Callithrix jacchus: one gene and its partner. The protein of the gene in region 2 interacts with the protein of the main gene of each other region in a pairwise test. Links are inferred from orthologs where the notes say so. Each region holds a gene or a part of one and is shown on either strand. Other genes may lie near its edges.

Region 1 (3,811 bases), on a different chromosome or scaffold from region 2:
TAAATCTGCTCAGGTCTTAAGGCTCTTTGATGATGGGGAGTGAATGACACAGCCTTGAGTCAGGGACTAGTTGAGGAACCCCCGGCCCCAGGAAGGTCACTTGCAAGTTGGTGTGGTGCTGTGGCCTTCTGGCTCTGGGACCTGGGGGCTTGTCGTCCTATTTTTTGTTCACCAGCTGTTTGACCTTGTGTAAGTCACTGACTCAGCCAGAGTTTCTGACGATACCAACATCAAAAGATGGGTGGGGGCAGGGATACACATGATGATCAGCAAAGTGCCCAGCTCAGTGCTTGGCACATAAGAGTGCTGACAGATGTTGATTGATTGATTTAGTGGGCATATAGGTGCTCCGTAAATGTAAGTTTCATTCCATCTCCTAACATCTTCAGCCATATGAATATGAGACACGGATGGGATTGGAGGGGGGAAAGTGAGAGACTTGAGATTGTCTTCCTTTAGGAATGATCTTCCTTAGAATTGGTGGGGAGGAAAGGAATTTAAAAGATTTATTTCCCTAATTAAAAAAAAAGCCTTTATTTATACTTAAATAACAGCATACATGATAATTTTATGAGTAAATGAAACTATATAATTTTAAAATTTGCATATTTTAAAGCTTTATCAGTTACTTACAGACTGTTTGCAAAGTAGAGGGAAGATCACTCGTAATCTTACATGGCACTGTCAGCAGTCTGGTATCCTGTGCCCAGTCGAATCAGTTGACATTAGCTATGCATGTCTCATGTCATTTGTGTATTTCTGCTTCCCCCAAGTCTTCACCCTTCCCCTTCTACCCAGATCATTTGGAAAATGTAAATGTGCAGTCCTAAGTGCTGCCTGCAGGATTGTGATGTCCGCCAGGTACTGTTGGCCGGCTCTAGACCCCAGCAGCAGTGATGAGATGAAAACAAAGCAGGGGAAATAGTCAAGTGGTAGAGAAGAGAAGAGGGGAGCAGAAGTGGGAGGCCAGGAACAGGGGACCAGTATGGTGTTCCCAGCACGTGCCCATGTGCGCACACACCTAAGGCCATTTAATAAAGGAAGCAGTTTGGAATGAGGTTGCAATTTGCTGAATTAGTGGTTGGCTTTTGCTGTCTAGATAGCAGCTGCCGCCAGCTCCTCATCTAAGAGGCTTCCTTTGCTACCACCTTCACTGGTTTCCGGAAGCCTTCTGGTCCCATAGACTGTTGAGAATTCCTAATTAGCAGATCCTGTTTGAATGTATTCTTACAGGTCTGCATATGTACACATTGGCCTCATTGGCCCCACACAGGTGTCACACGGAAGTGAAAAAGCCTGGGGAATAAATATCAAAGGAACCCCTAGCTGCTGGTTTGCTGAGGAGTTCACTTCCAGCGGAACCTTCTCTGTCCTTCTCTGAGTCTGTAGAGGGCGCTTATGTCACTGGAATACTAGTCTGTTGTGGGGCAGGCAGAGAAGGGCAGGAGTCCCGAGTGGGTTCAGATCTTCTCAAAACTTGAGATTAGCGGATCTGCCCTTTGAGGGTCTTGGGCTGGAATTTGGGCCTGGATCAGGGTTTCTACAAGCTTAGATGAGCGCTGTAGTGCACCTTGCATGTTTGTGTACTGTCATGCCCTCGTGGACTGGGAGGGAGCCGTAGTACATGTTAGATTCCCTGCTTTCAGGGAGCCTGCTTCATTTTTGTCCTCGTTGTGCACAGAGCTTGAACTTGGTGTTCCCCAAGTCCGGTGCCATTGCCTTCGCTGCCTGCCTTCTGTTTCACTGCTGTTTCCTGAGTGCCTCATGTGCAGCCTGCCCTTCAGCCTTCCCTGAAGCTCTGCTGACCAGCTTGTTCCCAGCTCCTCCTCACATGCTCTTAGCCAGCCTCACCCTGCATTGCACTTGCTTGGGTCAGATGCCCCTGCTGGACTCTGAGCCCCTAGAGGGCAGGGATTTGGGGGTCTCATCCACCTCTGTAGCCCTAGCTCCTAGTATAGGACCTAGCATGTGATAAGCCTTCTTGGATAAGAAAGGGATGAATCCATCTGTTCACCAGTAACTGTTAGGGGTGGGGATTTGTGCTTAAAGGCAGAGCAAAGGAGAAAGTGTTTCAAAGTAATGAATTACTTCAGTAGACTTGTAGAGGCCCCCTTAGGAGAGACAGATTCTTTTGGGCAAGAGGTCCCGCCTTTGGTCTGCCAGCATTTCACCAGATCTGCTGTTGTGTTTTGGTGTTAGTCCCCGCCCCCCACAAAATAATGCTGACTTTCCCCATTGTGTTACCAGGAAGTAACTTCCAGCTGTTGTGGATGTTCTTGATCAGGGCTTAGTTAGTAAATTGCAGTCTGCTGCCTGTTGCTCATAGTGTCAGATTGGATCACAGTTGCACCCCTTTGTTGATGTATTTGTGTGTGGCTGTTTTGTGCTAGCATGGCAGAGTTGAGTGGGTGTGGTAGAGACTATGCCTACAAAGCCTAAAATATTTACTCCCTGGCCCTTTACAAGATCAGTTCCTAGCCCTCAGTTCTGCTGTGTGGTGACTGTCCGATGTGGTGGAGACGCAGTGCGTACATAACGAGTTTTAAGGCCCGGGCCAGGAACTTCGGGCACATCATCGAGGTACTTTGAGATCTTTTACTCATCTGTGAAATGGGCATTAAAAGCAACACCTACCTCTCAGGAGGTCTCGCCCGCTGCTAGTAGAAGCATGTTGTGGATGTCAGAGCAGGCCCTGGTTCAGCTATGGACGTCATTGCTGCCGTTCTGTTTTCTCAGGAGGAGGAAGCCAAGAAACTGGTGAGCGAAGCCATTGCTGCTGGCATCTTCAATGACCTGGGCTCTGGAAGCAACATTGATCTCTGTGTCATCAGCAAGAGCAAGCTGGATTTTCTCCGCCCATACACAGTGCCCAACAAGAAGGGGACCAGGTGAGTGAAGGAGACAAAGTTCTTTCTGGGTCCCCTGGCTTCGTGGCCACCCTTGGTATCTCCATGGCATCTGGATGGAGTTTTCTTGGTTCTTCCCATGTTAAGTACATCCAGTGTTCCCAAATCAGCCTCCCACAGAGAACTTTGGCTCATTACTTGCTTTATGACAGTGGGGTGCTGTCAGGTGTAGGAGAGTGATTTAATTTGATGGGAGGGGTGGAGGGTGGCCCAGGAAAGAGCCCTAGGCTGGGAAGTGCAATAGAGAGGTTTGGATCATCTGCTGCCCTTTCTCACGTGTCTTAAGAATCCCCTGAATTCTGTGAGAAGGTACATTTTTCACAGCAGCCTCAGCACTTTCCCTCAGAGTGCTCCGAGATTCCTAACTGGGTGTAAGCAGTGCTAACAGACTCCCAGTGGTGGCCTGGAGCTAATGTGTGTCTGCTGTGCTACTGGGAGTTGTGCCATTTAGCCTGTGCTACATGCTGAGTGGGCCCCTTGGATCAGTGGTACAGCTCAGACTCACTGGTGGGAGAGGTTCTAGTTGATCTGCTGAACAGAGCTGGAAGTTTTCCAAACCTGGTGGCTGTCATGTGTCAGAGGAGCAGCTCGTTTGCAGTGTTTCATGATCATCCAGCTGCTTGACCGTCCTATGGCTCCTACCTCTTCTGGGACCCCAAGCAGCTCAGGATGAGCTCCCTGAGCGCTGCTTCCGGCTGTACCCATCTGAGTGCAGCACAGGGTATTTATATACTACTGCTCCCACCCAGCCCCATGGCTAGCCCAGAGGATAGTGAGCATCACCTTCTGCAGGCTTGCTTTCATCTCCCACTGCACACTCAACTCCAAATCAGGAGTAATTCACAAGGAAAGAACAGAACATTCAGAACCAGCAGGTATTCACCGTGGTCTGCATTCAACCCTGC
Region 2 (4,466 bases):
TACTGGAAAAACTTCTCCTTTAGGTTAGAATGTTTAACACCGAATAAAAAAGTTGAGGACAGAATCCTCAGGAATACCATTCCTTGAGGACAAGGAAGAACAACAAAGAAATGGGATTAAGAATAGACAGGATGGCTAAATAAAAGTAGTCACAGAAGCTGGGAAGAAAAGGGAATTTCAGAAAGTGTTTGGTTTCTAAATAAAGATGGAACTACCCATAAAAACTATGTGTATTTAATCAGGATAGTATATGCCAAAACAAAAAAGACAGTGCCTTTGGTATTGGTGTATTATTACCCTACACATTTATACTGTGAAATGCGCAATCACCAGATATTTATTAGCCATCTATTATGTGTCAGGTACTCTGCTAGATACTGAATATACATGTATACCTCCCAGAGCTTCATCTTATGAAAATATATCAAGCAAATAAAACATTGTGCTTCAACAAGTAAAGAACGAGATGCTAACTTTATTTATTTATTTATTTACTTCTTCAGGTGGGGTCTTGCTCTGTCATCCTGGCTAGAATGCAGTGGAGCAATCAGGGCTAACTGTAGCTTAAACCTCCTGGGCTCAAGCAATCCTCCCACCTCAGCCTCTCTAGTGGCTGGGACTACAGGCGTGCAACACCACACCTGGCTAATTTTTTACATTTTTTTGTGGAGATAAGGTCTCAATTACACTGGCCAGGCTGGTCTCAAACTCCTGTGCTCAAGTGATCCTCCTGCCTCAGTGCCCCCAAAGTGCTGGAATTATAGGTGTGAGTCACCCCAAGATGCTAACTTTAAATCACTTGTTGCTCAAGTCCAATACCCCTGTGATTCTGCAGAAAAAATGTAAAACAGCTACAGGCAGTTTGCTATCAAATGTTGTATTATTGTAGGAGAAAATATTTTGAGAAGTCAGCTTTTTCACTGGTTTCTTAATTCGTTTATATATTTGATTTGGTCAGATATTTTATCCTTTCCAGGGTTTCTTCACTATACCATTCTAGCCCAGCCTCTTAGGCATGGATAACTTCCACAGCATTCTACTGGATCTTGCTGCCTTAGACTCACCCATTTTCCAGTTCTGCATATCAAGGATTTCCTCAAGCACGAAACTCCTCCAACAAAACTGCTATAAAATCTTTGTTGGTTCATCAATGTCTGAAGCCTAAAGTTCAGAGTCCTTAGCCTGGACCTAAAGAACCTGCATAACAGGTTCCAACTCCCCTACATACAAGTCGTCATGGTGGACGAGGAAAAGAATCTGGACTTTAGCGTAGACTGTCACTAACCTACTTTGTGACTGCCAGCAAAGCACCAACCTCTCTGGCCTTGTTTACTCATCTGCACCAAGGAGCTGAACCCCAGGACTACAAATGCGCCTTGACTTATGATGGGGTTACTTCCCAATGAACCATATTTAATTGAAAATGTCAAAAGTCAAAAATATATTTAACACACCGAACCTACTAAACATCAGGTCTTAGTCTAGCCTACCTTAAACGTGCTCAGAACACTTACACTAGCCTACAGTTGGGCAAAATCATCTAACACAAAGCCTACTTTATTAAAAAATATTGAATTCCTTGTCATTTATTGAATACTGCACTGAAAGTGAGAAACAGAATGGCTGTGTGGGTACTCAAGTGTGGCATCTACTGACTATGTATGGATTTCACACCATCATAAAGTCAGAAAACTGTTGAATCACCACAGGTTGGGGACCTTTGGTAGAGCTGTGTGATTGTTCTTTCCAAACGTGGCTTCTATTACTTCCCTATACCAACCTTCTCCTACTTCTGGGCTGTTTTATCGTAAAGTGACAGAAGGTTTCAATGCACAAGGAAAAAGTGAATTCTGACTTCTAGATTCTGTTATCATTATTTTTTCCAATTTCCTTCTGTAAAATATCAGGATTAGAACTTAATGTTTCTAATAAAGAAAGCAGCCGAGAAAGGCAAATCTACAAAAACCTAACTACTAGTTACATTTGGGAGTGTCCATAAAACGTTTTTTTAACAATGATTAGCAGTATTTACCAACAGAAGCTTTCTAGATTTGGATGGATGGCCTACCAACAGTATCTGTACCAGAGTCTGTGGCAATGGTGACTCAGGATTCTTCTCAAATATCACAACTTTTAAGTTAAAAAGAAAGAGAAAGAGAAAGTGGTAGAGAGGAGAGGGCGGGAAGAAGAGAGGGAGTGAAGATAGACGGAGGGAGGAGATGTACTAACAATACTGACAAACGGGGAATAGCAACCGTCTGACTTTATCGCCTTCTAACACCTAGCACACAACAAGCTCTCAAAAACGTTTGTAGAGCAAAGCTGCGTTACACAAATGCGACCTATAGTTGTGGGGTGGTTACCAGACAGTTACAAGGGCGGGGACTGGGGGAGATGAGGAGTCTGAGCACTCTGGGCTCCCAGAGGTTACCCTTCAAGGAAAGGGTCGGCGGCGCCACCCTAGAGGACGCTGCACTTTCGGGTTTGTAGTTTCCACGTCTGCACCAAGTAAGGGGAGGAGGTCTGGGCCTGCTAGGGGATAAGGGGTGGAAGGGAGCAAACCGAGCTAAGAGGAGCAGGACGAAGCCGAACCGCTGCTCGTGGGACCAGTGCCGGAGCCGGGACCCGGCGACAGCCACGACCCACCCAAACCCCGTGACTCGACAGATTATGGCTCCCGAGGCCGGCCTCATCCCCAGGTTGCCGCCGCCACCCGGGGACGGGCTGGGAGGCGACTGCTTGTTTCTGCCGAGCCACGATCCCGAGCCCGCGTGGAACTCTGGCCGCCCGAGTACTCACTCACCATCTTCAGCAGCTCTGCTAAAAGCCTCTGTGCCCCGTTACCGTCAGTCGACCCCGCCGCTCACTTCCGTTTCCAGGGACTGCCCCCCCACATCCGCCGGAAGTGCGTCCGTCCGGGCGAGGAAGGAAGGAGGGCGCGGGACGCCGGAGGGAGCTGCCCCAGGTCGAAGCTCCCACGCTTGCAATCCCGAGGGACCGCGGGCCAAGGGCGCAGTAAGGGTGTGGGCTGCGGGGAGAGCGGGGTCGGGACAAGACGTGCCTGAGGGGAGGGAAGACACGGACTCCGGTTTATTAATAAACATCTACAGTTTGTACGGCATTTTAAGATGTGCAACGTGCTTCTTTTGGTACATCGCTTTATTTAACACAAAACCTCTCGGAGGTAGCTATTATATCTCACAGAAGGATAAACGAGGCCTAGGGGATTTGAGTGATTTGCTTGAGATCGTTCGGCTAATAAAGTAAAAGTGGGACACAAGGCTTTTGTCGTTTTTTAAAAAACATAATATCGAAGGCCTGCTATGTTCACAACTCTGTGCTTAGGCTAGGAATACAAAAAAGGACCAGGCTGGCATGGCCTCTGGGCTAGAGGAGCAGGGGTACTCCGGGGGCTGGAGGGGGAGGGAACGAAGGATAGTGACTACGAATTGAGTAAATATGATCATGACCGACGTATGCTGGGCTCTTTGAACTGCGTATCAGCACAGTTCTAAGTGCTTACATGCTTTATCTCCTTTAATCTTTTCAATAACCTTACGAATACAATTCACAGGTGAAGAAACCAAGACATGAAGGGGTTCAATATGCCTAAGGACCCAGCCTGAGTCTAGAATCTATGGTCATAACACTATACTGTATTGTTGTCCAAATATAATGTAGTAAAACGGCTTTATGGTCTGCTACCACAGGATGGAGACATCTTAAGGAATCTTCGGTCTGATAGCCAAAGGATAAGAGCAAACTAGTTTGGGCTAGTAAGGTATTTAATAACATGATGGGCAGATCTGCTTGTGCAAAAACGGAATTGGAAAGAATATCTAAGTCAGCCTAAGTTCAGAAAGTGCAGAGTACTGTGAGATGAGGTTGTAAGTAGATGGAGGCAAGTGGTTTTTGCTGTCGTTTTTGTTTGTTTTAAATAATGATGGGATTAGCTATGTTGCCCAAGCAATTCTGCTGCAGCCTCCAGAGTAGTTGGAACTACAGGCATGTATCATGGAACCTAGCTACAGGTTTTTTTATGCAGCCTTTGTAGGCAAGATTAAGGATGAGGCTTTGTCTATAAAAAGCCGTCCAAGGATTTGAGAGAGGGAAACGGTAAGGCCATATATCCACTGCCATGGTCATACAGCTTCGAAGTTCCAGATGGTAAGTTTTCTGCCCTGCTGTCCTTTAGTTGTCTTCTGGTCCTTCAAAATAGCCATGTTTAATCCTGAGATTTGAGTTGGAGTGTTTCATTTGCATCTTTTTTCTTTCAGTCAATTCCAACTAATGAGAAATTGTAAAGCTGCTAATCTTTTTTTTTTTTTAATCATTTTAACATTTGCTGATTGCTCACAGTTCACTGAATATGTATTGAGCATTTGCTTGGTACTAGATTCTGAAGCTAGGAAGATGAGAAAAGGGCATTTACCTGTACCTGAGATGCCTATGTTTTCCTGGGGGAA

Evidence for each region.
Region 1: the proteins of POMP (region 2) and PSMB7 interact in binary tests that used the Homo sapiens proteins (3 or more experiments, as listed by UniProt). The link is inferred for Callithrix jacchus from reciprocal best matches to the Homo sapiens genes POMP and PSMB7.

Annotation. Positions count from the first base shown.
Region 1 is NC_133502.1:172,977,930-172,981,740, reverse strand, and holds part of PSMB7 (proteasome subunit beta type-7), read left to right. Parts: intron 1-2,736; coding exon 2,737-2,888; intron 2,889-3,811. UniProt on the Homo sapiens protein: Component of the 20S core proteasome complex involved in the proteolytic degradation of most intracellular proteins. This complex plays numerous essential roles within the cell by associating with different regulatory particles.
Region 2 is NC_133506.1:147,825,140-147,829,605, reverse strand, and holds the start of POMP (proteasome maturation protein), read right to left. Parts: upstream 2,807-4,466; coding exon 2,804-2,806; coding exon of another isoform or gene 2,671-2,803; exon of another isoform or gene 2,423-2,670; intron 1-2,422. Other genes in the region: uncharacterized protein LOC128932219, read left to right, coding at 2,671-3,021. UniProt on the Homo sapiens protein: Molecular chaperone essential for the assembly of standard proteasomes and immunoproteasomes. Degraded after completion of proteasome maturation. Mediates the association of 20S preproteasome with the endoplasmic reticulum.